Stegostoma tigrinum: one gene and its partners. The protein of the gene in region 1 purifies or fractionates together with the protein of each later gene. This does not show direct contact. Links are inferred from orthologs where the notes say so. Each region holds a gene or a part of one and is shown in the gene's direction. Other genes may lie near its edges. The genes, in order: eif2ak2, dhx30, adar and zinc finger protein 346-like.

Region 1 (7,019 bases):
CCCCACCAAATGCCTGCACTTCCCATGGCCATCCCAGCTCACCTGCACACCTTTGGATTGTGCGAGGAAACCCACACAGACATGAGGAAAAAACTTGTAACCGCTACACAGTCGCCTGAGGCTGGATTGAGCTCAAGACTCTGGCATTGTGAGGTAGCAGTGCCAACCACCGAGCCACTGTGATTTTCCCCTGGAATACTGCAAGCTGTTTTTGGTTCCCTTTATCTAAGGAAAGCTATACTGATACTAGAAGCCATCAGAGAAGGTTCACTAGACTGATTCTGGGAATGAAAAAACTGTCTTACGAGTAGAGGTTGGATAGGTTCGGCCTGTATTTGTTAAAATATAGAAGAATGAGAGGTGACCTTTTTGAAACATACGTGATTCTTATGGGACTGGACAACATTGTACATGTGGAAAGGTTCATTTCCTCTTGTGGAAGACTCTAGTTCTAGAAGGCATAATCTCCAAGCAAGAGGTTAAACATTCAAGAAACAGGTATGGGGGAATTTATTCTGAGTGTAGTGAATATGTGGAATTCTTTATCTCAGATGGCTTTAGAAGCTAGGTTGTTTCCCGTAAGCAAAAAAAAACTAAAATCAATTCTTATAACTGAAAGCAAGCTGAATAGTCTTGAATGTTCACTCTGTATTTGTAAACATCTCACCAATGCAAACACATTGCCGTTATCAGCCCTGATCGTGTCTCATATACACACTCATTTTAGAAAAAGATTCCAGAGATATTGAGAAGTTGTTGATAATGGACAAACTAGCAATGTGAAGAAATTCCCACTCTTTTGAGATTGCAGAGACATCAAGGTAGGAGGTATTCAGTCTCCCGGCCCATCCACTCCCTCTCATATGACCGATTACATCCTTTTTTCTTCATTTAACTTTTGAATCAAATTCACTTTTTCTTCTTTCTGTGGGGGTGTATTTAGAGAGAGGTTGCAGGGAGCTGTTGAGTGGTGGATCCAGTCCATTCCTCGTGGCCATGGTAGTAATTGTTTCAGCAACTGTTCCAGCGTTGATGGGTTGGGGCCGGTTCTTTTCCTTTGGTGTTTTGGCAGCATCTGCAATTGCGGCAGAGTGAATGATCCTTTGATCCTGGGGAGTTCATTTGGATGGTGTGTCGGTCCTTGGAAGCTGAGAATGGACAGCAGTCTGTGAAAGTTGGGACAGTCTCCTGGCTATGGCGGCAGCTGGAGTATCAGTGATGATCAGGTACCTTTGGCAGAGATGGTGTTGGGTCAGCAGGGGGTTACTTCAGTGTGCTTCCTCCTTGGTGTTGCAGCCTCATGGACAGTTTTGACACCTGCAGAGTAAGGCACATCAGGTAGTCACTTGTGAATTCAAGAAGCCATTGTTGGAACAAAAACATGAAATTTGTCTTGACTTAGTATGTATTATTTCTTTTTTATAATTTATGTAATTAAAATGGTGCCAGATTAATTATGATGACTTAGGCATGTTTTGGCAGTATTTTTCATAAATACATGTAACAGTAAATTACTATGATAATAATATTATATTTGCTACTACCCAATACCCAATGATCTACACATGACCACACTGTTTTGATTTGATGTATTGTCACATGTACCTAAGTACAGTGAAAAGCTTTGTTTGTGAGCAGTACAGGCTGATCATAGTAAGCAAGGGCATACAGATTATAGGGTGAAAAAGAAACTTTGACAGAGGAAGGTATACAGGTTACACTGCAAAGGCTGTGTGATAAGCAAGTTCAACATAAAACAAGACCAGCATTGTTTTAAGTTAGAGAGTCCATTCATTAGTCTATGTCGACTGTCTCCCTTTGTTTCTCAAGGTGGCATTTCAAAGATCTTTGTCAGCTGGTGGGTATCAATTTGCAATGGGTCAGTGATGATGCTTCTTGTGTCGCTAATCCTTCACATCTAACTTACCCGTTGTCATAAAGTGGACCAACACCTTCATCAATACTCTTCCTGACAGGAGGTGTCAGCTGAAGAGAAAATTAGTGGCATGTAGTTGGGATTCCATCCTTTGGAAAGGGGCACACATGGAACCAAAGAGACCTTGAAATATGAGATAACAAGGTGTAGAGCTGGATGAACAGTTACTAGTGGTGTACCGCAAGGGTCAGTGTTGGGCCCACTGCTGTTTGTCATTTTTATAAATGACCTGGATGAGGGCGTAGAAGGATGGGTTAGTAAATTTGCAGACAACACTAAGATCGGTGGAGTTGTGGATAGCGACGAAGGATGCTGTAGGTTGCAGAGAGACATAGATAAGCTGCAGAGCTGGGCTGAGAGGTGGCAAATGGAGTTTAATGCAGACAAGTGTGAGGTGATGCACTTTGGTAGGAGTAACCGGAATGCAAAGTACTGGGCTAATGGTAAGATTCTTAGTAGTGTAGATGAGCAGAGAGATCTCGGTGTCCATGTACACAGATCCTTGAAAGTTGACAGGGTTGTTAAGAAGGCATACAGTGTTTTAGTTTTTATTAATAGAGGGATCGAGTTCCGGAACCAAGAGGTTATGCTGCAGCTGTACAAAACTCTGGTGCGGCCGCACATGGAGTATTGCATACAGTTCTGGTCACCGCATTATAAGAACGATGTGGAAGCTTTGGAAAGGGTGCAGAGGAGATTTACGAGGATGTTGCCTGGTATGGAGAGAAGGTCTTACGAGGAAAGGCTGAGGGACTTGAGGCTGTTTTCATTAGAGAGAAGAAGGTTGAGAGGTGACTTAATTGAGACATATAAAATAATCAGAGGGTTAGATAGGGTGGATAGGGAGAGCCTTTTTCCTAGGATGGTGACGGCGAGCACAAGGGGGCATAGCTTTAAATTGAGGGGTGAAAGATATAGGACAGATGTCAGAGGTAGTTTTTTCACTCAGAGAGTAGTAAGGGAATGGAACGCTTTTTCTGCAACGGTAGTAGATTCGCCAACTTTAAGAACATTTAAGTCATGATTGGACAAGCATATGGACGTACATGGAATAGTGTGGGTTGGATGGGCTTCAGATCGGTATGACAGGTTGGCACAACATCGAGGGCTGAAGGGCCTGTACTGTGCTGTAACGTTCTATGTTCTATGTTCTAACACAGCAGGCCAAGCATCATCAGAGGAGCAGGAAAGCTGACAGTTTGGGCCTTGACCCTTCTTCAGAAATGTGTGAGGGGAAGGGGATTCTGAAATAAATAGGGAGAGACAGGGAGGCAGATACAAGATGGATAAAGGAGAATATAGGTGGAGAGGAGACAGACAAGTCAAAGAGGCAGGGATGGAGCCAGTAAAAATGAGTGTAGGTGGGGAGTTAGGAAGGGGATAGGTCAGTCCAGGGAGAACGGACAGGTGAAGGGGGCGGGGTTAGATTAGTGGGTAGGAGATGGGGATGGGGTTTGAGGTGGCAGGACGGACAGGTTAGGGTTGCGGTCGGTGGAGGGGAGATTCTGAAGCTTGTGAAGTCAACATTAATACCATTGGGCTGCAGGGTTCCCAAGCAGAATATGAGTTGCTTTTCCTGCAACTTCGTGTAGCATGATTATGGCACTGCAGGAGGCCCAGGATGGACATGTCGTCTGAGGAATGGGAGGGGGAGTTGAAATACTTTGCGACTGGGAGGTGCAGTTGTTTATTGCGAACCGAGCAGAGGTGTTCTGCAAAGCGGTCCCCAAGCCTCCGCTTGGTTTCCCCAATGTAGAGGATGCCACAACGACCTTGAAATAAAAACTGCATGGCCTCCAATAAAGGAGGGTGTGCACTTCATGGGATAGCAGATCAAGTTCCTTGCCAGTGAACACTATCCAGGAAGCAGCTTTTCCCCACAGAAAAGAAGTGGTGGAGGTGATGATTTTTGACACCCTGACTGGTAGTCCGCTGGGAAAAGCCACTCCCTATAAGTTTGGCATTGTGTCTGACACTTCCTTCAAACAAGTTCAGCCAGATGAATTCCAATGCCTCTTCCCCAAAAACTCATACTGTATTAAAACACGCTCCTTTCATTAAACACCCACTCTAAATCTACACCCTCCCTTGCATCCATCCCCCTTCATTCCGCTCCGTGTTTGCAATGTGAGCCACGCAGTGGTTCCAGCTCTGATCCTTAAAGGCCTCTCTCAGTAACGCTGCAGGAAAGCGAAAGTAAAAGGAGCGGAGGCCGAGAAACGAAACTCTCTTTCCGACTGAAGGAAGAGACAATTTGCGTTCACGGTCTCCACTGCGAGAGTCAAGAGATTGCTGCTGTGAGCGCTGACGGTGAGTTTTCCTGGGGCTCTGAACGCATTACAGAATAATGTTATATTACACACACCGGCCGAAGCTTTACGGGGCACGCACCGTGGGTTCGGCAGGGGTTGCAGTATGACTCAGCTTTCAAAAATCTTCTTACCGATTAGTTACTTGATGGTGAATATTGTTTTACTGTCACCTCCGTTACAGTGGACTCTGAGTCGCAGGTTAGGGATTTAAGTCTTTCCTTCAGAGACTGAGTACAGAATTAAGGCTGACACCATCACTGTTAGTCTCTCAGATGAGACATTAACCCGAGGCTGGACCGCTCTCCTAGTTGGAACAACTGGGAGATGTGTATCTTTTCACAACCCGTTACCGGTCCCTTGGCCTTCTGCAGCTTTGTAAATGTTATCGCTGTTACATAGGAACAGGGCCAGACCATCCCATGAGCGTATGCATGGTTTACTTCATATCCCTGCTTTTCCCCATCTTCCTTACATTTTCCTCAAAAATCTGTCAATTTCTGTCTCGTTTAAATCACTTTGTATCATTTCGATTGCCTGTTGCTGAAGATAATTTGAAATTTCTAAGGCCCTGTTGAAGAGTATCCTCATCCCTCTGCCGCAAGTCTAGCTCAGAGAGCCCCCTGTGCAGACAGAAGCAGAGTTAAAGTTTCAAATCCAGTGACCCTTTGTCAGAAGGATCATAATCTGAAGGGTCATTGGACTCAACTATTTGCTCTGCTTTCCTCTCTCTCTATACAGATACTGACAGATCTGCTGAGTTTCTCCAGCACTTGCTGCTCGTTTCAAATTTCCAGCATCTGCAGTACTTTTATTAAGCTGTTTTATGTTGTTTGTATTATTGCTTTTTTATTGCAGTCTTAAATAGAGAATTGAAGGAAAAGAAATTGATCTAATATATCTGTAGAAATAACCTATATATTTTCTACACTAAACATGTTCTTATCAAAATGATCCTGGCGTTTCAATGTGTTAACTGGAACATTTGATTGTAATGAAGGGAAATCCTTTATTAGTTTGTGAGTGTCTGAATTCTGCACATTCAGCAATGTTTCAATTATTGGTGGGGAGCATTAATTGACATCACATGAAAAGGGTGTGCTGATTGGCTGGCCAGATTATGAGCCCAATGAATCATCTTAAATTGGTTTTTAGCGTAATTGTTGTCACACTCAGGATTGTTTGTAACTGCTATCTAATCTTCTAAACCAGCCACATTCCTGTTCCATATAATACTACCTAGCTCCCTGACTCATTTCCTTGGGTGTAGAGGGACTAGTAAGGGGGAACAAAAATCTTGAGATCTCTTCAAATCTGATATTTTCTTTTATCTGAAATTTGATATGTCACAATGAGACCACAAGAAATTGGAACGGGGTAGATGATTCAATCTGTTGAGTCTGTTGTGCCATTCAATGGGATTATGAGTAATGTCCCCTTGGGTAATTTTCCTCATGTCTGCTTTCCTGTCTTTTCCCTCTAATCCTTGATTCCGCTACTGATGAAGAAACTATCTCAGCCTCAAATTTTCATAAGGACTCCGTCCACACAACTCTGTGTGGCAAGGAGTTCCAAAGATTCTCAACCCTCTGAGAGTTTGAGGGTGAAATATTGGCCAGGATATTGCACTGCATTTCATGACGTTCTTTACATTGTGTGTATAGGATCTTTTATGTCCACTCAAGCAGGTAGACACTTGAAGGTCTGATTGAAAACATAAGAACTGTGATAGCACACCTTGGATGTGACAGCCTCGAAGATACACTCACCTCTCAGTATGTGGATTGAACTCTCGGCCTTTGGAATAAATTTAACTCTGGGTTTAAAATCCATGTTTAGCCTTTGCTTTGCCCTAGAGCCAAGTCAGGCCAGGAAAATACTTTGCAGGATGCCTAGCTTGTAGCGTGAATGAATTTTAAAGAATATTGCACGAGAACTGATTTATCTTTCCAAATCAAGGCATTAGTAAATACATTTCCCTGTATTTTACACAAACAAATACTCCTACCAGGACTCCTAACAGCTGTAATGAGTTTTATAAGAAGTGTTTGGAAAAGTGGTGCATCCAGTTTACAATTGCCTGTTGCCATCTATGTAAGGGAGATGATTTAGATTTGGATGAAAATTTGCAGTGGGCAATATTGGATCTGCTGCCTGTTGTACATGACTCCTAGTTTCATTTCCTGTGGAAGTCACAAGGAAGTCTGATATTAATACTTCACTTCTTTGTAATGACAATTCTTGGTTGGTGAGAAAGAGACAGTCTGTCAAAACCTTTTGTCTCGCAGTCATCAGAACAGACACAAGAATTCCAAAGTTTAATGGTGGGGAGCACTAAATGACATCACATATGAAAGAAATACTGATTGGCAGATTGTGAGCCCAATGGAGCATCTTAAATTGGTTTTTGCATAATTGTTGTCACACTCAGGATTGTTCAGTAACAGATATCAAAACAGGGATTTATATGTATCATTGGAACATTACATTCTGTGTTTTACAAACATTTTGTGAGTTGAGCATGTCCAGTACTCTGCCTACTGCAAGGGAATGTGATGTTTAATACAACTCAACAGTCATTGGGATATGGGGCCCAGATATGTTAGCATTACACCGGCACTGAAATTCACATAACTGCATTACTCATTTGTGTGTCATGAAGAAAGCAGCACAAGCATCTGTATGGAAAACCATGTTCCTGTCTTGATTGCAATCCTATTAATGGAAAATATCAGTTATAGTATTACTTCATAATAGTAGCATATAATAACTGT
Region 2 (7,251 bases), on another chromosome or scaffold:
TCTATCACTGTTTGTTCTACGAAGTCCACTTATTTTGAAATGGGGATAGAACAAGGCTGGGTCTGGTGCCCTCCATAGCCAAATAGTCTACCGATACACCAAAATGTAATGAGTGAATAGGTGGTTGAAGGGAGGGCCAAGCAATCTGTGGAGCCTCATCCAGGATATGAAAAATTGAGACTTTAGGCATTCAGAACAATAGATTATGGGCTGAAATGATCAAGAGGGTTTAAATTTTTGAATCGATAGGAAAAGGTAGATGAAGCAAAATGTTCATAACAAGTACCACAGATGCCAGATTAAAATTGAGAGATGTGGACCATAAGGTAAGATGTATGAGTGGATGTCAGCTATTTGAACCACCAAGACTGCTCTGCCATTCAACAAGATCATGGCTGATCTGATAATTCTCAACTCCACTTTCCTGCCTTTACTGCATACTCCTTGTTTCCCTTCTTGATTAACTTTTGCATATCTCAGCTTTGAATATACTTAAGAAACTAGCCTTGACAACTTTCTGTAGGAAAGAATTCTACAGATTCTCAGGAAGCGAAGGAATTCTTCGTTATCTGTGTCCTAACTGGGTGACCCCTTCTTCAGAGATTACATCCACTATACCCTTTCCGTCTCAGACAGTGAAAATAACTCTCCATATCTAAACTGTCATGTGTCTAAAAATCTTGAATGTTTCACTAGGGTCACCCCTCATTCTTCGAAGCCCTAAGTACAAGCCAAACCTACTCAAACCCTTCTCATGAGAAAATCCATAGATACCCGCAATTGACCTAGTGACTGACTCCAAAGCCAATATATCATTCCTTAGGTAAGGGGAACAAAAACTATTCGTAATATTATAAGTGTCATTGAAATAGTGTCACACGTAGTTTTAACAAGACTTCCCGATTTTTGTCCTCCATTCCGTTTAAAATAAAGACCAACATTCCATTTACTATCCTTATTACACACTGACATTGTATGCTAGTGTTTTGCGATTTATGCATGAGGATGCCAAATCCTCTTCCAGCAACTTCTGTTTTTGTTTCTGATTAAAGCATCCACAATTCTTTTGGTTTTTAGGTTTTCCACTACCTTCTCAAGGGCAATTTGAGATGAGCAATAAATAGTGACCTTAATAGTTTATAAGAATATATCATGAATATATAAAACAAGGACCGGGACTGATGTCCTTGGGGGACTATTTGCAAGAGTTGTTGGGGAGGCTTTAAACTAAAATAGCATGAGCGAGGAATCAGAGGAGGGAGAATCAAGGACAAGGACAACAAACAGAATGGGGAATAAGAAAAGTGATAGGCAAGAAATCATGGGCCACAATCAAATAGGGGCATATTTAAAAATAATGGAAATGGGACAAGTAATAATAAAAAAGGCCAATTATAATGCTTTGTGTTTCAATGTGTGGAACATTTACAATAAATTGAATGAATCAATCACGCAAATGAATAAAAACAAGTATGATTTAATCAGAATTATGGAGACATGGCTGCAGTGTGACAAGGAATGGGAAGTGAATATCCAGAGGTGTTCAGTAATGAGGAAGGATAGATGAAAAGGAAAAATCAGTAATGTTGCATTGTTGGTTAAAGAGAAAATTAATGCAATAGTGAGGAAGCATAGTAGCTCGATGATACAGAATCTGTGTCATTAGAGCTGAGAAACACCAAAGGGCAAAATCATTAGTGGTGGTTGGATATAAACCCCTGAACTGTAAGGATGATGTTGGGAGTGGCATTAAACAGGACCAGTACATTTTGTTTCCTGTCTGCTAATCAACTGTTAATCCATGCAAGTATATTACAACCAAACTAATGTGCTTTGATCTTGCACAGTAAACTCATACTTGGGACTTTATCGAAAGCCTTCTGAAAATCCAGTACACCAGCACACTGGTTCTTCTTCACCTATTCTGAGACTAATGTCTGCAAAAAATTCCAGGTTGTTTGTCAAATACAATTTTCTCCATACAGCCTTTTTCTTTAAACAGCAATGTTACATTTGCCACAGCCCAATCTGCTAGAACTGTTCAAGAGCTAACCAAGGCCCTTGAGTCCTTCGAAAAAAGTAAAACTCCTAGAAGGGATGGCTTACCAGCTAAGTTGTATTCAGCTTGAAGGACTTGATAGGCCAGCACCCAGTGGAGATGTACAATAGTATGATTCTGGCAGGGAGAATATGTGAATTTAAGAGGAAAGGTATCATCACCCTCATCGACAAGTGGACAGGGGACAGGGAAGAAATTAGAAATTGCCAATCATTGAATATGGATTACAAGATCCTGTCTAAGGTCATTGCCAACTGGGTCAAGTCTGCTCTGGGTTCGGTGATTCACCCTGATCAAACCTGTGCTGTACCAGGAAGGACCACCTCTGGGAGTCACGTGCTCCTCATAAGTATGATCACCTATGTGCAAAGAAGGGCAGTGGGTGCCTTCCTCATCAGCCTGGACCAGGGGAAGGCCTTTGACAGGACATCACACACCAACATGTGGGACATGCTCCCTAAAACAGGTTTTGGACAGCGAATATGAAATTGGATCCAACTGGTCTGCACCAAGCTCTGTAGTGTAGTTTCAGTCAATGGGTGAGAATCAGAAAGCTTCCTGATCAGACCTGGAGTCTGGAAAGGCTGTCCACTCTCTCCTGCTTTCTTTGTGCGCTGTATAGAAGCTTTTGCCAATTCCATCAGGAAGTGTGCGAGAGGGGTGATTTTCCAGGCAGCAGAGGCCTACAGGTCAAAACTGCCCTGTACATGAATTACATCATTGTTTTCTGCTTGGGTCCACTGCGCACAGAATCATGAAAATCTGCAACCAGTTTGAACTGGCCTTGGGAGTCAAGGTAAATCAAGGCAAGAATGAGGTCATGTTCTTTGGGAACTGGGCTGACTGATCCTCTGTCTCCTTCACCATTGTAGGGTTATAATGAAGGCATATGGCGTGTTTACTTTTGTTGGCAGGGGAATTGAGGTTAAGAGCCACGAGGTTATGTATACGAACCACTGTCTGTGTGAAAAGGTTGCTCCTCAGGTCCATTTTAAATCTTCCTCCTCTCAACTTAAATTTATGCTCTGTAGTTTAAAAGTCCCCTCTGCTAGGAAAAAGACCTTCACTATTCATTTTATCTATTCCCAATTAATTTACAAGCCTCTATAAAGGTCACTCCTCAATCTGTTAGGGCACATTTGGAATATTGTGGTCAGTTCTGTTCACTACATGACGGAAGGATGTGGAAGCTTTGCAAAGCATACAGAAACAATCTTCCAGGATGTTGCCTGCTTTGGAGGATATTTGCTATAAGGAGAGATTGGACAAACTTGATTTGTTTTCACTTGAATGTCGAAGGATGAGTTGCAACCTTTTGGAAGTTTACAAAATTATGTGAGGCATGGAGAGACTGGTCAGAGTTTTATTCCTAGGGTAGGAATGTCAATTATTAGGGAGCACAGGTTTAAGGTACCAGGCAATAAGCTTAAAGGAGATGATAGAGGCAGGTTTTTGTTGACACAGATGGTGATAAGTGACTGGAATGTGCTGTTCCAGGAGGTGGTGGAGGCGGATACAGTAGCAACGTTTAAGAAGCATCTTGACAAATATGTGGGATATCAAGGTGGAGAGCTGGATGAACATAGCCGGCCAAGCAGTATCAGAGGAGAGCTGACGTTTCGGGTCCAGACCCTTCTTCAGAAAACAGTGAATAGGCTGAGAACAGAGGGATACGGACAGTGTAGAGGCAAAAGGTTTTTAGTTTAGAAAGGCATCAAGCGTCTGCAAAGTCTGTTCTTGCTTGTTCCAAAAAGGGAACTTGAAAAGGAGCAACGGACAGGATTACAGGGAGAAGGCAAGATGATTGCACTGGGTGAGACCTCACGGATACAGTGAACCGAGTGGTTTCCTTCCGTGCTCTAAGAATTCTGCAAAATTACTTTTGTACTTTGAAGTGATGGAAGGATTCAAACTACTTATTCGACTGACACTCCTTCCATTGACAGAACAATTGTTACTGCAGCAAATAGAGTGCACACCACCCTATTAAGAGCAGTAGAGAACTTTCAAGAGCTCTCACAATCCTACCGCATTAACCATCGCCTAGTACTCGATTCTGCCGCCAGAGGCAGCGCTGGGCTCATTGTCGGAGTTCCTGACTTTTTTTTGTAAACGGTCCATCTTGCGCATTGTTCCGGTCTCTCCGCGAAGTTCTGGAGCCGGCCTGAGGAACCAGCCCGTGTTTCCAAGATGGCGGTGTACGCAGGTGGGATGTCGCGGCTGCTGTGTTTCTTGTTGAGGAGGTTGTGCCCGCGAAGGCAGCCCAGCACCGGAGCCCGGGGACCGCCGGCGCCTCTGGCTTGGCACTCGGAGTGGGAGTGCGGCCCCATATGGATGACAGCGGCCATGAGCCGGTTCAGGCACACGACGAGTCGGCGGCAGCAGCAGGTCACGCCGCGGGGAGAGGAGGGAATGTCGGAGCCGCCGCTGCCAACTGGAGCGAGCGGTCAGCAAGGTGCGGGCTACTGACTCCTCCGGGGGACACACTTCAACCTTGCAGTATTTGTTGTGTATATAAGCACACGCATGTTACAAAGTACTTACACAGTGTATTGAAAGACCAACGACAAAAATATAAATACTCAAAACTACCCATCAAGTATTGGGATATAGAAACAAAATGCAGTTGCGCACAAATATTCAACTAAATTCAGTAGTTTGCTGAAAAAGAGATTAAAGTGATTCATTTTTGGGGGGTTCGTGACCACAGTTCTCTGAGATCTGCCACCTAGTTGGATAGAGTTGTTAAGAAGGTGTATGGTGTGTTAGCTTTCATTAATAGAGGACTCGAGTTCAAAGGCCATGAAGTTATGCTCCAGCCGTACAGCACCCTGGTTCGGCCACATCTGGAGTATTGTGTCCGGTTCTGGTCACCTCATTACAGGAAAGATGTGAAGGCGTTGAAAAAGCTGCAGAGGAGATTTACTAAGATGTTGCCTGAAATAGAGGGAAGGTCTTAACGAGGAACGGTTGAGAGTGCTAGGGCTTTTCTCTTTAGAACGACGAAGGATGAGAGGTGACTTGATAAGAGGTGTATAAAATCATCAAAGGTCTAGATAGAGTAGACAGCCAGAGGCGTTTTGCTAGGGTGGAGGTAGCTATTACGAAGGGGCATAATTTTAAAGTGAGTGGAGGTAGATATGGGAGATTCAGAGGTAGGTTCTTTACTTGGAGAGTGATAGGGGTGTGAAATGCATTGCCAGAGCAGGTAGTGGAGTCAGTCTCATTAGGGACAGTTAAGTGGCTATTAGATAGGCATATGGATGATAGTATATGGTGAGGGTGGAGGTTAGATAGATATTAAGTTTAGGATAAAAGTTCAGCGTAACATCGTGGCCGGAAGGACCTGTACAGCGATGTACTGATCTATGCTCTGTGTTCTGTTTTGGTAGAAAGAAATGAGGAAAGGGCATATAGCCAATGAGGAATAGAGATGGATGTGTTTGTGTACAAATTTGTGAAGTTGGCAGGACAAGTTCAGTTTAGCACTTTAGCCAATAAGTTGAGGCATTGAAAATAAAAGCAAGGAATGCATGTAAAACTTTCAACATTTGCTAGGTAGGCTGCAGTTGACGTGCGTATTGTGTACCATATTAAATTCTTGACCTGAATGTTTGGTGCATAGAAGCAAGAATTGAAAATCTGTTGTGTACATATGTTTGATTTCCTTTGTTCTCCATTCTGTGCTGAGCCAACTAATCTTCACTGTGATCTGTCAAATTGTAATTGATTGTCTTGTGATTGGAGTGGAATGACGAAGAAAGGAAGAAGTCTACAAAAAAAATCTGTGATCACACTTTACATAATCGTCCTTGAATGATGGTGTCCAGTGATCTCCAATGCAGAAAATTGACATCTTGTGGGGAAAAGACAAAGAATTGGTTTTCCAAGCATTAACTCGGTGATGATGGCTGGCATACTGAATTCACCGAAAATGTTTGTTTAGACTTACAGGCCCTTCTTCAAGAGTTTCCACAGCCTAAGAACCTGCTGGTTCAGGTCATGCAGCGAGCTCTGAAGGCTTCTAATGTAAATGATCGCATTGTCTACAAATCATTTGATGGATACATTAAAGTAAGTGGTTATCAATGTTTATTTTTCAATCTAATTTGGTTAAATTACTGTTGGCCAGTTTGGTCTTGACACTTCAGTGTGGAGAGGACAGTTCGGTAGGCTCCCTGATTCCACACCCCCAGTTGTGTAGTCATATCACCTGCAAGAAAGTATTGGATTAGCAAACTTCAAATCTTCAGTAATATTCCAGAGAAATTTCAAATCCCACTATGGCAGGTTTAGAATTTTCATTCAGTCTAAACAAATTCTGGAATTGAAAAGCTATTAGTGACCACGGAACTTTCAGAGTGCCCTAAAATTGGTTCATCTTAATGTTCTTCAAAAAAAAACCTGCTGACCTCACCTGGTTTAGTCCTTGCATGATTGCAGTTCAATACCATCAGGCCTGCCTTTTAACTTTGAAGTGGTCAAGCAAAGTAGCTTGGGATGGCAAATGAATGTTGCCTTGATAGTGGGATGGCCACATTCTGATACTGAATAACATAAGAGAGAAAGACAGACTTGATTCTTTCACGACACGATCTACAAAGAATCTGTTGGAATCTTTGAAGTGTGCCCAAGTCAACTCTTGCAGAATTTTGAATTAATCCCACCTCTTGTTCTTTTCACCATAACCCTGAAAAGTATTCTTCCAGTATGTGTTCATTTTCCTTTAGAAATTAATATTGAATCTAGTTTCTCCATTCTCCCAAGAGAACTCTTTCATCATTCTCAGATGGCAGGTTTCAAACTGAGGATTGAATGATAGGTGTGGTATTCATTTCTTCAGGGTGCTCTACTATTGGTGCATCACCTCTCTTCATCCCCTTCCTTAGATTGCTGGATAGATTATAATGCTGGTTGAATGGACAATGTTCAGGGTTTGAGTGAAGATTTGCAGCTTGAGTGCTGGTTGTAGATGTGTTCGCTGATTTGGGAGGTTTGATAGCAGACTTTTTGTGAAGAAGGCTCCACAGCACTGAGAATGTCACCTAATAAGGGGACAAAATGTCTGCTATCAAACTTCCCAGCTCGGAGAACACACCAACATCTGTGAATGGACAACATTCTAATAGAAGCCTCTAACCAATACTGACAATTGTTTATGTACTTTGAAATGAAGTTGAGGACAAGTTGAC
Region 3 (7,154 bases), on another chromosome or scaffold:
TACCCATATTGACCATTTTCCTCTAGGTTCATTCCATGTGAACCGCTGATTTTAAAAATAAAACTCCCCATGTCCTATTTTTAAAACATCATCTCATTAAAAATGTTCCCCCCAACCCTAGGGAAAAGCTATCAGCCATTCACCTTGTCTAGACCCCTCCCAATCTTGAACATCTAAGGTCACCCCCTCCAAATTGCTCCAGTGGAAAAAATGTTCCAATCTCCCTATAATGCAAACCTTCCATTGCAGTGACATCCTGATTAAATATTTTCTGAACCCTCTCCACCTTGATAACAGGGCAACCTGTACTGGACATAGTGCTCCAAAAGAGGCCTCACCAACATCCTGTACAGGCTCAACACTATGTCCCATTCCCATACTTAACAGTCTGAACAATAAAGATAAGGATGCCAAACACTGCCCTAACCACCTGCCTATGTATAATGCAAATATCAAAGAATTATGTACCTCAACCCCTAGGGGTCTCTATTCTATAATACTCCTGCAGACTGACCGTTAATTGTTAAAAGACAAGCATTGAGCTAGAAGAACACATCAGGCCAAGCAGGAAAGCTGCCATTTTGGATCAGACACTTCAGGAAAAAGTTATGACTCCAGCATCTGCAGTTCAGACTATCCATTAACTGTAAGTCCCATTCTTGTTTGTTTTACTGAAATACAATAGCTTGCATTTGTCAAAGTTAAACTCCATCTGCTGCTCCTCAGCCCATTCAGTCAAACAAGATTGCTGTAATCTTAAATAATAATCTTAAGTAACATTCTTCACTATATAACCATACCTTCTATAGTCTCATAAGCAGACCCAGCATTGATCCCTGTGACGCATGGCTGTTCAGACCTCCAGTCTGGAAAAACAACCCTCCACAGCCACTGTCTCTTGCCATTAAGCCATTTTGTATCCAGTTGGCATGCTCACTCCTCATTATCTGTTTTTACATGTGCAACCCTTCACTCTGTTCCTAGACTTCCCTAAAAGGGAAACGACCTTTCTGCATTTACTGTGTTAAATCTCCTAAATCTTTTAATGCTTCAATAAAGTCACCTGTCATTCTTCTGTGTTCCAAATAGTACAAGTCCAAACTACTTAACCTGTCTTCATTTAAAGTCCTTCTGTACCTGGTATCATCCTAGTGAATCTTCTCTGGATTGTCTCCAATGCTAGCATATCTTTCCTTGGATAAAGGATCCAAAACTGTTCAGTATTTGAGCTATGGTCTTGACTTGTGCCTTTGTAGGTTTAGCAAAACCCCCACTCTAGTTTATCACTCCATTCCGTTTTGCAATAAAGGCCAACATTCCACTTGCCTTCCCTATCACCCACTGAACTTGGATGCTAGGTTTTGGGATTCATGCACATGGAACCCCCCCCCACCCCCAAACATCTTTCTGAAGCTTTCAGAAATGTTTCTCCATTTAACAAGTATTCACTCCTCCTTTCCTGTCAGTGCATAATCTGATATTTTCACATGCTATTCCTTTCTTCTAGCACTTTTTTGCTCACTTTGTCTAATGTATCTATCCCTCTTCAGAATCTCATTCTCATCACTTACCTTCTCTCTTTGTCATCTGTTAGCACCACTATAGTACATTCGCCTTTGAACTCCCTTGAGCATGAGCATCCTTTCTCAAAAGGAGACCAAAAGCAAATAAACATTCTAGGTGCAGCCTCACTCAGGCCCTGTACCAATGAATCCACTATCTGTTTAGCTAATTCACTGAATGGTAGACCAGACCCATCAGGCTGAATAGCCCACTTCTGCTGTCTTGTGTGTACAAACTGAAATGGAAGCTGAACTGCTGTGGCTGTGTTTTCAAGTTGCAAAAGGGTGGCATTTTGTTGAGCTGTGCAATACAAATTGTTCCTTTTTTGAAAGTAGTAAGAAGGAAAATTTTTATAGACTGAACAGCACAAAATATTTAAGGAAATTCCCCCTAGCAAAAGATCTGTAGGAGCCAACAGCAACTCGAGCCTGAAAAATAACATCACACTCTCTTGCCCCTTGCCTCATCCTTTTTAGGGTAAAAGTCAAGACTTCCAAATTCTTTGTCTTTTATACAAAAGACCCAAGGTCACATGATCAATGGACAACCATCGCTTTAGACAACAGCATCTCATCGTTGTAAAACAAACAAGGATTGAAACTTCCTTGTGGTCTGGAATTTTGTTTACCCTATCTATATTTTCCATCAATCTGTTAAACTGTATCTTAATCACTGTACACTTTGGGTTTTTGAAACAATGCAGTTTATAAAGTTACATAAATTAGAAATATTTAATTTATTGATCTTGTGTGATTCCATAAATAACTCTTTACTATCCCTCACCACTCTTGTATCAGTTACAGTAATCAGGTAATAGTTAATGTCTTTAGCTGCAGAAGTCTTGTCATGGAGTCAGCATTAGGATTGTTATTTTTCTAATTAGTGTTTATGCAGGGGGGGGCAACAAAGCTTGAAAGAAGATCTTCGATAGGATGTTAACACCCCAGATGAATGGGTGGTAAATGATCCTTAATACAGAAGGGGGTGATTTTAAAATAAACATGAAAGACGGTACAAAATAAAGGGTACTAGAGCAGATGAACAGACTTAAGTGTAGGTATACATTATAAATTACTAAAATTAGTAAGTAAATTTAGTAATTACTAAATTAGCAAGATATGATGGGGGTGGGGACAGCTATTTATGAAGACCCAGAATAGTGCATAATTAAGTAGGGACAGCATATGGCAGGGGGTTATGAGCTGGTTTAACTTGTTGGTTAGACCTCCATTTGGAGTACTGCATACAGCTGTGGGTAACAGATGATAGGAACGATGTGAATGAATTGGAAAGGGTTTACAATGGTGCATACTCAGTAGTATGAAATAATACTGGAGGTAAAATTGAACACTACTTTTTTCTTGAAAAAGACAGCTACGAGGACATTTGATAGTTCTGAAAATCATGAAGTCTGGATAGGGAAAACCTGTTCCCATTTGCAACAGACTGAGGATTAGTGTAACAAGGTGTAGAGCTGGACAAACACAGCAGGCCAAGCAGCAGGAAAGCTGACGTTACGGGTCTAGACCCTTTTCTGAGGGTCTAGGTCCGAAACGTCAGCTTTCCTGCTCCTCTGATGCTGCTTTAGCCTGCTGTGTTCATCAAGTTCTACAACTTGCTATCTTTGATTCTCCAGCATCTGTAGCTCCTATTATCTCTGAGGACTAGGGTACTTGCTTTTACAAAAGCAAAAGCAAGGCGAGGAAACTCCCACCCCTCCCCCCCCCCCCACCGCCGTAGATGCGGTGGTGGTATACGAGATGACAAAGTGTGAAGCTGAATGAACACAGCAGGCCGAGCAGGAGCTCAGGAGCTGACATTTCGGGCCTAGACCCTTCATCAGAGCCTGCTGTGTTCATCCAGCTTCACAGTTTGTCATCTTGGATTCTCCAGCATCTGCAGTCCCCATTATCTCTGATCACAATTTTAACAAAGTGTGGGGCTGGATGAACACAGCAGGCCAAGCAGCGTTATAGGAGCACAATGACGTTTCGGGCCTAGACCCTTCATCAGAAAAATCCTTTATGCGTGGTCGAGGCAGGTTCGATCGTGGTATTGCAGAGGACATCGGATAGTTGCCTTCCACCTTCTCTCCCCCACCCCACCACCCCCAAAAAAATAACTTGGGCGGTTACGGGAGGGATCGGCGGCAAAATAAGGTAGAAACAGGGCCCCAATCGTCGTCACGGTCTCAGTCAGTCCTTCGGCTCGCCAAATAAAGTCTGGATATTTCTAAGTCAGTTATAAGATTATAGTCTCTCAACTTCCGTCTTTTGGGGTTGGGGGGGAGGGGAGCTACAGCTTGGTAAATACCGCCTCGCGTCTTCCCTTCCCTAACCCCCGAAGACACCCTCGATGTATGGACCAGCCTTGCCTTGATCAAAGATGGCCGCTGCACATCTTTCAAGAAAGTTTCAACGCGGACGGGTACATTATGCAATTTCCGGTTCGGCCTCCGGCGGTGATGGAGGGTGAGGGTGGGGGAGGGGAGGAGCGAGCGGCGGAGGCGGGGAGGGTAGAAGGAAGGAAAGTGGGGGGAGGGGAGGTTGTTGTCATTTGAAGGCAGAACACAATAGGAGAAGGTGGTGTGTACATGAGAGATTTGGGAGGGAGAAGGTCTTTTATTTAAGCTAATGTCCGAACATTTGAATCTGTACGTTTGAAGCGGGGGGGAGAAAATAAACGAACAGGAAACGGGAGCAGAATGGAGGCGCCACCTCGACGATGCGGAGCGTAGGTAAGGAGCTTGAGGGCGGGAAGAGGAGGAGGGAAAAAGCCGAGGCCTAGCCGGTCACTGTGTCTCTCTGTCTCTCACGCTCGCTCATTGACACTGACACACAAGTCAGTTAGTCGGTCACCGCGCCGCCGAACACTCCGCCTCGCACGCGATGGCGGTCGCCGCTTCGCTGTGAAAGCCGGTTGATCGGAGGTGAGGAGGCGCGTTTCAAACCGGTGGCCTTACCTGAGGAGACGGAGGAGGTTTCATCCTTCAGGAGCCGTCAGCCCGCCCGCGAGGCCAACCGTCACTGGGACGCGGGGTCGCCCGGCGCGAGCGAAGCAGGAGGGGTTGGGGTGGGCGCATTGCTTGGGGTTGGGGGGGGGGTGCCCCCGGGAGTCAGGGTCAAGAGGTGCCCGGAACGGGGTACGTTGATTTTTTTTGGGGGGGGGGAATGGGCTAAGTTGATATTTGTGGGGAGAAGGGATCCCCGGTAGTGAGGGTCAATAGGTGCCGGGAGGGGGGGTTGGTACATTGATATTGTGGGGGTGGGGGGGGAGATACCGGGTAGTGAGGGTCAATAGGTGCCGGGAGGGGGGGGGTTGGTACATTGATAGTGTGGGGGTGGGGGGGGAGATACCGGGTAGTGAGGGTCAATAGGTGCCGGGAGGGGGGGGGTTGGTACATTGATATTGTGGGGGTGGGGGGGGGAGATACCGGGTAGTGAGGGTCAATAGGTGCCGGGAGGGGGGGTTGGTACATTGATACTGTGGGGGTGGGGGGTGGGATACCGGGTAGTGAGGGTCAATAGGTGTCGGGAGGGGGGGGGGTTGGTACATTGATAGTGTGGGGGTGGGGGGGGATCCCCGGTAGTGAGGGTCAATAGGTGCCGGGAGGGGGGGGGTTGGTACATTGATAGTGTGGGGGTGGGGGGGGATCCCCGGTAGTGAGGGTCAATAGGTGCCGGGAGGGGCGGGGGTTGGTACATTGATATCGTGGGGGTGGGGGTGGGATACCGGGTAGTGAGGGTCAATAGGTGCCGGGAGGGGGGGGTTGGTACATTGATATCGTGGGGGTGGGGGGGGAGATACCGGGTAGTGAGGGTCAATAGGTGCCGGGAGGGGGGGGTTGGTACATTGATATCGTGGGGGTGGGGGTGGGATACCGGGTAGTGAGGGTCAATAGGTGCCGGGAGGGGGGGGTTGGTACATTGATATCGTGGGGGTGGGGGGGGGGATACCGGGTAGTGAGGGTCAATAGGTGCCGGGAGGGGGGGGTTGGTACATTGATATCGTGGGGGTGGGGGGGGAGATACCGGGTAGTGAGGGTCAATAGGTGCCGGGAGGGGGGGGTTGGTACATTGATATCGTGGGGGTGGGGGGGGGAGATACCGGGTAGTGAGGGTCAATAGGTGCCGGGAAGCCCGGGGGGGGCCTCTCCGGCACTGAGGTATCTGGGGGTGGGTGCATCGTGGACGGGGGGGGATGGGAGGCGGAATTGCCGGTAGTGAGGATCAGCAGGTCCCGGGAGCGGCGGGGGGGGTGCTCTAGGTACATTGTGCGATATTGTCGGGGTGGTCCCCGGGAGGGTCAGTAGGTGCCGGCTGGGAGCTAGGGCACATTGTGTGATATTTTGGTTGGGGGGCGGTGGTGGTCACACTGTGTGTGTATTCATATCCGTGAGGTGGGGGTGGGGGTGGGGAGGGGGAAGGAAATGGCAGCGTGGAGCCGGCCGCATCGTGGTTATGCCTCGTGTTTTGGAACCGGTGGTTTTTTTTTGGTGAACGCTTTATCTTTCACGTGTCCGTCCACATGGCGCTTCGGGAGTATAATTTCTTTTCCTCACTGTAAACATAACATACTCGAGTAAAATGTAACAGAATTGCGGGTGCTGGAGATCTGAAACGAAAGAAAAACAGAAATTGCTGGAGAGGGAAAACGCTGGGTCACTTTTCACAGATACTCTTAGAATTCCCTAATAATGTGAAAGTAAGCTATTCAGCCCATCAGGTAGGCAACGACCGCCCCCCCCCCCCCCCCCGCAAACAGCATCCCACCCAGAACCCCCCCCCCTTCTCAATCCCTGTAACTCTGCGTTTCCCATGGCCAAAACCCTAATCTGCACATCTTTGGACTGTGGGAGGAAACCCACCCAGACGTGGGGAGGCATTCACATTCACCTGAGGGTGAGATCAAACCCAGTTCCCTGGCGTTGAGGCCAGCAGTGCTAACCACTGAGCCATCATACCGCCCCTACTTCCAGACCTGTTGTGTTTCTCCTGCAATCTGTGTTTGCTTATGATATATTCAAGCCTTCTTTTTGTCATTGCCTTCTGTTGTACTAATCAGAGTTGGCAAGGTCAGAGGTGAGGAATATTGCAGCGCCTAACTCATCTCCAGACTCCCCAGAGCCTGTTCACCACTTACAAGGTACAAGTTAGGAGTGTGATGGAATACTCCCCACTTGCCTGGATGGGTGTAGCCCCAACAACAGTCAAGCTTATTGTCCCAGGACAAAGCAATTTGCTTGATTGGCACCATATCCACAGATATCCTGTTCATCCACCACTGATGCTCAGTAGCAGCATTGTGCACCATATCCACCTTCAATCACTCGCATACAATCTGCAATATGCTCTGCAGAAATTCACTAAAGACCTTTAGACAGCACCTTCCAAATGCGTGACCACTTGTATCTAAAATGATAAAGGCAGCAGATATGTGGGAACACCAACGCTTGCAAATTTCCCTCCAAGCCTCTCACTGCCCTGACTTGGAATTATATTGGTATTCCTTCAGTGTCACAGAGTCAAAATTCTGGAATTCCTTCCCTAATGGCATTATGAGTCCGTCTGAAGCACGTACCGCAGCAGCTC
Region 4 (7,910 bases), on another chromosome or scaffold:
AGGTGTAGGGAATGGTGGATGACTAGAGAAATTAAGGTTTTGGTCAAGAAAAAAGAAGCATATGTTAGATACAGACAGGAGGGTTCAAATGAATCCCTAGAAGAGTTTAAAGAGTATACTTCAGAGAGAAATCAGAAGGGCAAAAAGGAGACATGAGATAGCTTTCTTTGCCAAAGCCAAGGAGTAACCAAAGAGATTGTGCAAATACATTAAGGACAAAAGGGTAACAAGGGAGAGAATACAGGCCCCTTAAAGATCAGCAAGGTGGGTGGTAGAGATGCTAAATGAGTCTTTTGCATCAGTGTTTACTGTGAAGAAGTGTATGAAGATAGGGAATGTGGGGAATTAAATAGCGATAGCTTAAAAAATGTACATGTTACAGAGGAGGTCGTGCTGGGTGTACTAAGATGCATAAAGGTGGATACATCCCCAGGACCTGATCAGGTGTACCCTAGAACTGTGTCAGAAGCTAGGGAAGTGATTGCTGTGCCCCTTGCTGAGATATTTGTATCATTGATAATCATAACTGAGGTGCAAGAAGACTGAAGGTTGGCTAACGTGATGCTGTTATTTAAGAAAGGTGATTAAGGAAAAGCCTGACACTGGTGATGAGCAAGTTGCTGGAGGGAATCCTGAGGGATAGGATCTACATGTATTTGGAAAGGTAAGGACTGATTAGGGAGAGCCAACATGGTTTTATGTTTGGGAAATCATATCTGACTAACTTGACTGAGTTTTTTGAAGAAGTAACAAAGAGGATGGATGAGGACAGAGCAGTGGACGTGACTTATATGAACGTCAGTAAGGCATTTGACAAGGTTCCTGTTGGCAGACTTGTTCGCAAGGCGAGATCACATGGAATACCAATGACATGAAAAATTGGTAGAGTAGAGTAGCATAACAACAAAGAAGGTTACATCAGAGTACAATGGGACCTTGATCAGATGGGCCAATGGAGTTTAATTCAGATAAATATATGTTGTTACGTTTTGAAAAGGCAAATCAAGGCAGGACTAATACACTTAATGATGACGTCCTGGGGAATGTTGCTGAACAAACAGACCTTGGAATGCAGGTTCATCATTCCTTGAAAGGAGATTCAAAGGTAAACAGGATATTGAAGGTTTTGGTATGCTTGCCTTTATTGGTCAATTCATTGAGTATAGGGGTTGGGAGGTCATGTGTGGCTATACAGGACACTGGTTAAGCCACTTTTGGAATACTGCGTGCTATTCTGGTCTCCCTGGTATAGGAAGGATGTTGTGAAACTTGGAAGGATTCAGAAAAGATTTACAAGGATGTTGCCAGGGTTGGAGGGTTTGAGCTATAGGGAGAGGCTGAATAGGCTGGGGCTATCTTCCCCTGGAGTATTGGACGCTGAGAGGTGACCTTATAGCAGTTTATAAAATTACAAGGGGCATGAATAGGGTGAACAGTCAAGGTCTTTTCCCCAGTGTGGGGAAGTCCAAAACTAGAGGGCATAGGTTTAAGGTGAGAAGCGAAAGATTTAGAAGTGACACAAGAGGCAACATTTTCTTACAGAGAGTGGTTTGTGTATGAAATGAGCTGCCAGAGAAAGTGGTGGAGGCTGGTATAATTACAACATTTAAATGTAATCAGGATGAGGACATGGATAGGAAGGGTTTAGAGGGATATGGACCAAATGCTAGCAAATGGGACTAGATTAATTTAGGATACCTGGTCGGCATGGATGAGTGGACTGAAGGGTCTGTTTCCACGTTGTGCAGCTCTGAGTCTACAAGTAGGCCATTCAGCCTTTCGATGCCACTTCTTCATTCTACATGGCCATTGCTGATTATCCAATTCAGTGCCCTCATCCCACCTTCTCCCCATATCCTTTGATCCCTTTAGCCTGAAAAACAATCTCTAACTCCTTGAAAACACCTCAGTCCTAAATGGCCTACCTCTTGTCTTTAGACTATAACCTCTGGTCTTGGACTCCCTGGTCATCAGAACGCCCTTTCTGCATTTCCCCTATCTAATCTTGTCTGAATGGCCTTCAGCTTTTCAAAAGCTGTTTCAAAAGCTGACAACTGCGCTGAAACTTGAGATAAACTTTCGGTAAAAATCACATATTCCAAGAACCTCATAAGTTCCCATTTTGTTGTGGGAATCTGAAACTGCACTACTGCTTGTGTTATGACATAGAGATAGGTAGCTGAATCGAATCCACCTTTGTATTCACAACACAGTAACATTAAACCATCTAAATCACTCTGCTGGTTCACAACCAGGTTTTTGAACAAGCAATTCCAAACTTTGAAATTAATTAATTTTCTCAACACCAGTTCTGTAATTTAAACAAAAGATTTAACATTTTATTGAAAACAAAATTTATATTAGAAAAGAGAAAATAAAACATGGTGTGGTTATCAATATTAGTGCTTTAAACCCAAAACATTTGTTTCCAGCCCCCATTCACATGAACAATGGATAACAAACACAGTTAAGGGATAAATAAGCTAAAAAAAAGTGGCCAGATTACTCAATTGACTCATGATGCATTATCTCACAGGCATAAATGTGACTCTTTAGCTGTTTTTCTGAAACATCGATCAGGGTCATTTTCTCAGTTCACTCAGGCAAAAGCCACAATAATTCCAACTCAGCTTTCTACTCTTTAGGCAGGGAGCTTTCAAATCTTCACACTGTCTCAGCAGCATCCCTGGACCATCTCCCAGAAAACAGAGCTAAACAGAACACTGATTCTGGTTCTACCCTGATACTCTGAATGACTCCTCTTGAGGCCTCAATTACCATTAAACAACTGCCAATCTGCTTGAACATAGGCTTTCTTTCAGACTTGCCAGAACCAATTCCCAAGTACTGATCTCGTCGATAGCCAATTTCAGCTATCTGTGTAAACAAATGCTCTTTCTAGGGTTTGCTGCATCTGTTAGAACCTTTTTGAATCAAGTTTCAGCCTACAATTAGCCTCTTGGCCGGGCCTGTTTTCATAAACAAACAAAGCTTGTTTAGAGTCATAAAGTCATTGTGATGTACAACATGGAAACAGACACTTCGGTCCAACTCATTCATACCACCAGAGAACCTAAATAAATTAAGTCCCATTTGCCAGCACATGTACGCATGCAGAAACCTTTTAAATGTTATAATTCTAAGGCCCCTACAGCTCAGTCCATACCTGTGTCATCCTCTGAATGAAAAAAAATGCCTCTCAAGTCCCTTTTGAGTCTTTCCGCTCTCACCTTAAACCTATGCTGCCTAGTTTTGGGGTCCCCTAAGATGGGTGAAAGACCTTGGCTATTCGCTCTATCCTCGACCCTCATAGTCATTGCATTATCTTTTTGGTATTTAATGCAGATCCTCATGGAGCTATTTGGCTTGGCCGCAAGTACAACTGCAGGCCTTGTCTGGCTGTTACTAGATACTATCAGTTGGTGCTCCACCAGTCAAGCAAGAAACAAGAACAGGCCACTCAGCCCTTTGAGTCTACTCCAGCCTTCAATAAGATCGTCATTCATGTGATTTTAACTTCAAGTTTATATTCCTGCATATGATTTTTCATCTTCTTGGTAATCAAGAATCTATCACCTTTGTCTTAAAAATAGTTGCAAGATTCTGCCTCCACTGTCTTTTGAGGAATGGAATTCCAAACACTCCAAGAGAAATGTGTTCCTCTGTCTTAAATAAATGAACCCCTACTTTTAACCTATGACCCCTAGTTTTACATTTTCCCACAAGAGGAAACATCCTATACACATCTACCTGATCGAGTTCCTTCAGGATCTTAAATGTTTCTATTAAGTCATTTCTGACTCTTCTAAATGCCTGCCGAGCCTTCCTCATAAGGCAATCCCCTCATTCCCGGTATTAATCTAGTGAATGCCCTCTGAACTGCTTTCATCACATTGACATCCTTTTGCTGGTACCATGACTAGTGACGCAGTCTCATCAATGCCTTGTAAAATTGAAGTATAACCTCCCTATTCTTGCTTTCAATTACCCTCACATTACAACATTACATTCTGTTATGTTTCCAAATTACTTGCTGTACCTGCATACTAACCTTCATGCATCAGGATACTCAGAGTCTCTTAACATCTCAGAGCTCTGTAAAATCTTACCATTTAGAAAATATGCTTTTTATTTTTTTCCCCCACTTTGCCACATTACATCTTATTTGCCGGACCTTAGACCACTCACTTACCCCACCTAATTAGTTTTGTAGGCTGTTTATGTCCTCTTAACACACTTTCCTACCTACTTTCTGTCATCAGCAAAATTAGCTACACGTCCCTTTGTCCAAACTTTAATTTAAATATTCTATTCCTAGACATACTCAGATATTAGCAAATAGTTATAGACAACATCAAACTGGATTCTATTAGAGTTGATATTGTGCTTTTCAATCGTTTATAATTAGAAAAAAAACTGCCAAAGTTTAAACACATTTCCCCAGATTCGCTGAGCAACTTTCCAACTTGTTTCACTGTCTCAGTCAAGGGAATTAATACCTCAGCTGCTTGTGGTGAAGGTGTTTTCCCATCCAACCACTCGGCTACGTTATTACACACACATTTGCAACAGGTGGGGCATTAACACGGGTCTCCTGTCTCCGATGCAGGGACACTACCGGCAGCTCCAGCCGAGCTCGGACCGTTCCTGCCGCGGGGCAGCTCCGAGCGCGTCCACGCTGCCGCACGCGCGGCGCCGGCCCGTTGCCGCGGCAACGCCGTCCGCTGACGTCGGCGCGGCCACGAACTTTCTGGAAAGCGGCGGGCGATGTCTCGCGCGGCTCGGCTGTGTTGACGCGAGATCTGCTGAGGGCAGGGGGCTGGCTCGGTGTGTGCCTGTGCTGGGGGGGGCAAGGGGGCAAGTCCGGGGTTTAGAGAGAGGGAGGGAGGGAGGAGGGGGGTTGAGGGTTTATTTTAAAACTAAGAGAAAAGCTGGGGACTCCGGCAGCGATGGCGGCGGAGAGACCGATCCCTCAGCTGATGGAAAGCTTCAAACCAGCCGGTGCCGGCGACACCTCGACTGGCAACGGGGCTGGTAAGCGCCGCCCAGCCATGAGCACCGTGCATTATGGGGGAGGGGGGAGGCAGCGTCGTGCATTCGGTTAAAAGGGGGGAGGGGGGTAAATAGCAAAGATTCCTCGCTGTGGCCGAGAGCTTCGTGCATCGGTACCTCCCCGTACACAGCATGATTCTCCCCACCCCCTCGCCCCCCCCTCCCCCCACCCCCCTCGCCCCCCCCTCCCCCCACCCCCTCGCCCCCCCCCCACCCCCTCGCCCCCCCCCCTCCCCTCGCCCCCCCTCCCCTCGCCCCCCCCCCTCCCCTCGCCCCCCCCTCCCCCCTCGCCCCCCCCTCCCCCCTCCCCCCCCCCCTCCCCCCTCCCCCCCCTCCCCTCGCCCCCCCCTCCCCTCGCCCCCCACTCCCCCCTCCCCTCGCCTCGCCCTCCCCTCGCCCCCCCGCCCCTCGCCCCCTCGCCCCCCCGCCCCTCCCCTCGCCCCCTCCCCTCGCCCCCCTCCCCTCGCCCCCCTCCCCTCGCCCCCCTCCCCTCGCCCCCCCTCCCCTCGCCCCCCCCTCCCCCCCTCCCCCCTCCCCTCCCCCCCTCCCCCCCCCTCGCCCCCTCTCTCCCCCCCTCTCCCCTCTCCCCCCCCTCGCCCTACCCCCCCCTCGCCCTCCCCCCCCTCGCCCTCCCCCCCCTCGCCCTCCCCCCCCCCTCGCCCTCCCCCCCCCCTCGCCCTCCCCCCCTCGCCCTCCCCCCCTCCCCCTCCCCCCCTCCCCCCCCTCGCCCTCCCCCCCCTCCCTCTCCCCCCCCTCCCTCCCCCCCCCTCCCTCTCCCCCCCCTCCCTCTCCCCCCCTCCCTCTCCCCCCCTCCCTCTCCCCCCCTCCCTCTCCCCCCCTCCCTCTCCCCCCCCTCCCTCTCCCCCCCCTCCCTCTCCCCCCCCCTCCCTCTCCCCCCCCCCCCTCTCCCCCCCCCCTCTCCCCCCCCCCCTCTCCCCTCTCCCTCTTCCCCTCTCCCCCTCTCCCTCTCCCCCTCTCCCCCTTCTCCCTCTCCCCCCCTCCCTCTCCCCCCCTCCCTCTCCCCCCCTCCCTCTCCCCCCCTCCCTCTCCCCCCCTCCCTCTCCCCCCCTCCCTCTCCCCCCTCCCTCTCCCCCCTCCCTCTCCCCCCCTCCCTCTCCCCCCTCCCTCTCCCCCCTCCCTCTCCCCCCCTCCCTCTTCCCCCTCTCCCTCTTCCCCCTCTCCCCCCTCCCTCTTCCCCCTCTCCCCCCTCCCTCTTCCCCCTCTCCCCCCCTCCCTCTTCCCCCTCTCCCCCCCTCCCTCTTCCCCCTCTCCCCCCCTCCCTCTTCCCCCTCTCCCCCCCTCCCTCTTCCCCCTCTCCCCCCCTCCCTCTTCCCCCTCTCCCCCCCTCCCTCTTCCCCCTCTCCCCCCCCCCTCCCCCCCCTTCCCCCTCCCCCCCTTCCCCCTCCCCCCCTTCCCCCTCCCCCCCTTCCCCCTCCCCCCCTTCCCCCTCCCCCCCTTCCCCCTCCCCCCGTTCCCCCTCCCCCCCTTCCCCCTCCCCCCCTTCCCCCCCTTCCCCCTCCCCCCCTTCCCCCCCTTCCCCCTCCCCCCGTTCCCCCCCTTCCCCCTCCCCCCCTTCCCCCTCCCCCCCTTCCCCCTCCCCCCCTTCCCCCTCCCCCCCTTCCCCCTCCCCCCCTTCCCCCCCTTCCCCCTCCCCCCCTTCCCCCTCCCCCCCTTCCCCCTTCCCCCTCCCCCCCTTCCCCCTCCCCCCCTTCCCCCTCCCCCCCTTCCCCCTCCCCCCCTTCCCCCTCCCCCCCTTCCCCCTCCCCCCCGTCCCCCCCCCCGTCGTCCCCCCCCCGTCGTCCCCCCCCCGTCGTCCCCCCCCCCCCGTCGTCCCCCCCCCCGTCGTCCCCCCCCCCCCGTCGTCCCCCCCCCCGTCGTCCCCCCCCCCCGTCGTCCCCCCCCCCGTCGTCCCCCCCCCCCGTCGTCCCCCCCCCCCGTCGTCCCCCCCCCCCGTCGTCGTCCCCCCCCCCCGTCGTCCCCCCCCCCCGTCGTCCCCCCCCCCCCGTCGTCCCCCCCCCCCCGTCGTCCCCCCCCCCCCGTCGTCCCCCCCCCCCCCCCCCCCCCCGTCGTCCCCCCCCCCGTCGTCGTCCCCCCCCCCCCGTCGTCGTCCCCCCCCCGTCCCCCCCCCCCCCGTCGTCCCCCCCCCCCCCGTCGTCCCCCCCCCCCGTCGTCCCCCCCCCGTCGTCCCCCCTCCCCCTCCCGCCCCCCCCCTCCCCCTCGTCGTCCCGCCCTCCCGCCCCCCCTCCCCCCCGCCCCCCCTCCCCCTCGTCCCCCCCTCCCCCTCGTCCCCCCCCTCCCCCTCGTCCCCCCCTCCCCCTCGTCCCCCCCTCCCCCTCGTCCCCCCCTCCCCCTCGTCCCCCCCTCCCCCCCCTCTCCCCCCCTCTCCCCCCCTCCCCCCCCCTCTCCCCCCCCCCTCGTCCCCCCCCTCCCTGTCCCCCCCTCCCCCTCGTCCCCCCCCTCCCCCTCGTCCCCCCCCTCCCCCTCGTCCCCCCCTCCCCCTCGTCCCCCCCTCCCCCTCGTCCCCCCCCTCCCCCTCGTCCCCCCCCTCCCCCTCGTCCCCCCCCTCCCCCTCGTCCCCCCCCTCCCCCTCGTCCCCCCCCTCCCCCTCGTCCCCCCCCTCCCCCTCGTCCCCCCCCTCCCCCTCGTCCCCCCCCTCCCCCTCGTCCCCCCCCTCCCCCTCGCCTCTCCCCCTCTCCCCCTCTCCCCTTCCTGCCTCCCTCTTCGCTTGCATCGAGCACCTTCCTCTGTTTCTATAAAGAGAAACACACATAAAACTGCGATTGCTGCTGCAAATAATTCAGCAAACACCACCCCCCTCCGCCGACCCCTGCAACTAACATTGAGGTCAGTCGCTTTTT

What was found.
Region 2: the proteins of eif2ak2 (region 1) and dhx30 purify together in Homo sapiens (affinity purification with mass spectrometry; 3 studies listed by BioGRID and IntAct, with this or other methods). This does not show direct contact. The link is inferred for Stegostoma tigrinum from reciprocal best matches to the Homo sapiens genes EIF2AK2 and DHX30.
Region 3: the proteins of eif2ak2 (region 1) and adar purify together in Homo sapiens (affinity purification with mass spectrometry; 3 studies listed by BioGRID and IntAct, with this or other methods). This does not show direct contact. The link is inferred for Stegostoma tigrinum from reciprocal best matches to the Homo sapiens genes EIF2AK2 and ADAR.
Region 4: the proteins of eif2ak2 (region 1) and zinc finger protein 346-like purify together in Homo sapiens (affinity purification with mass spectrometry; 3 studies listed by BioGRID and IntAct, with this or other methods). This does not show direct contact. The link is inferred for Stegostoma tigrinum from reciprocal best matches to the Homo sapiens genes EIF2AK2 and ZNF346.

Annotation. Positions count from the first base shown.
Region 1 is NC_081357.1:95,093,100-95,100,118, forward strand, and holds the start of eif2ak2 (interferon-induced, double-stranded RNA-activated protein kinase), read left to right. Parts: upstream 1-3,992; 5' UTR 3,993-4,246; intron 4,247-7,019.
Region 2 is NC_081358.1:94,688,856-94,696,106, forward strand, and holds the start of dhx30 (ATP-dependent RNA helicase DHX30), read left to right. Parts: upstream 1-4,240; 5' UTR 4,241-4,249; coding exon 4,250-4,514; intron 4,515-6,005; coding exon 6,006-6,133; intron 6,134-7,251.
Region 3 is NC_081400.1:2,174,240-2,181,393, forward strand, and holds the start of adar (double-stranded RNA-specific adenosine deaminase), read left to right. Parts: upstream 1-4,095; 5' UTR 4,096-4,300; intron 4,301-4,399; exon of another isoform or gene 4,400-4,492; intron 4,493-7,154. UniProt on the Homo sapiens protein: Catalyzes the hydrolytic deamination of adenosine to inosine in double-stranded RNA (dsRNA) referred to as A-to-I RNA editing.
Region 4 is NC_081366.1:78,746,849-78,754,758, forward strand, and holds the start of zinc finger protein 346-like, read left to right. Parts: upstream 1-4,882; 5' UTR 4,883-4,949; coding exon 4,950-5,034; intron 5,035-7,910.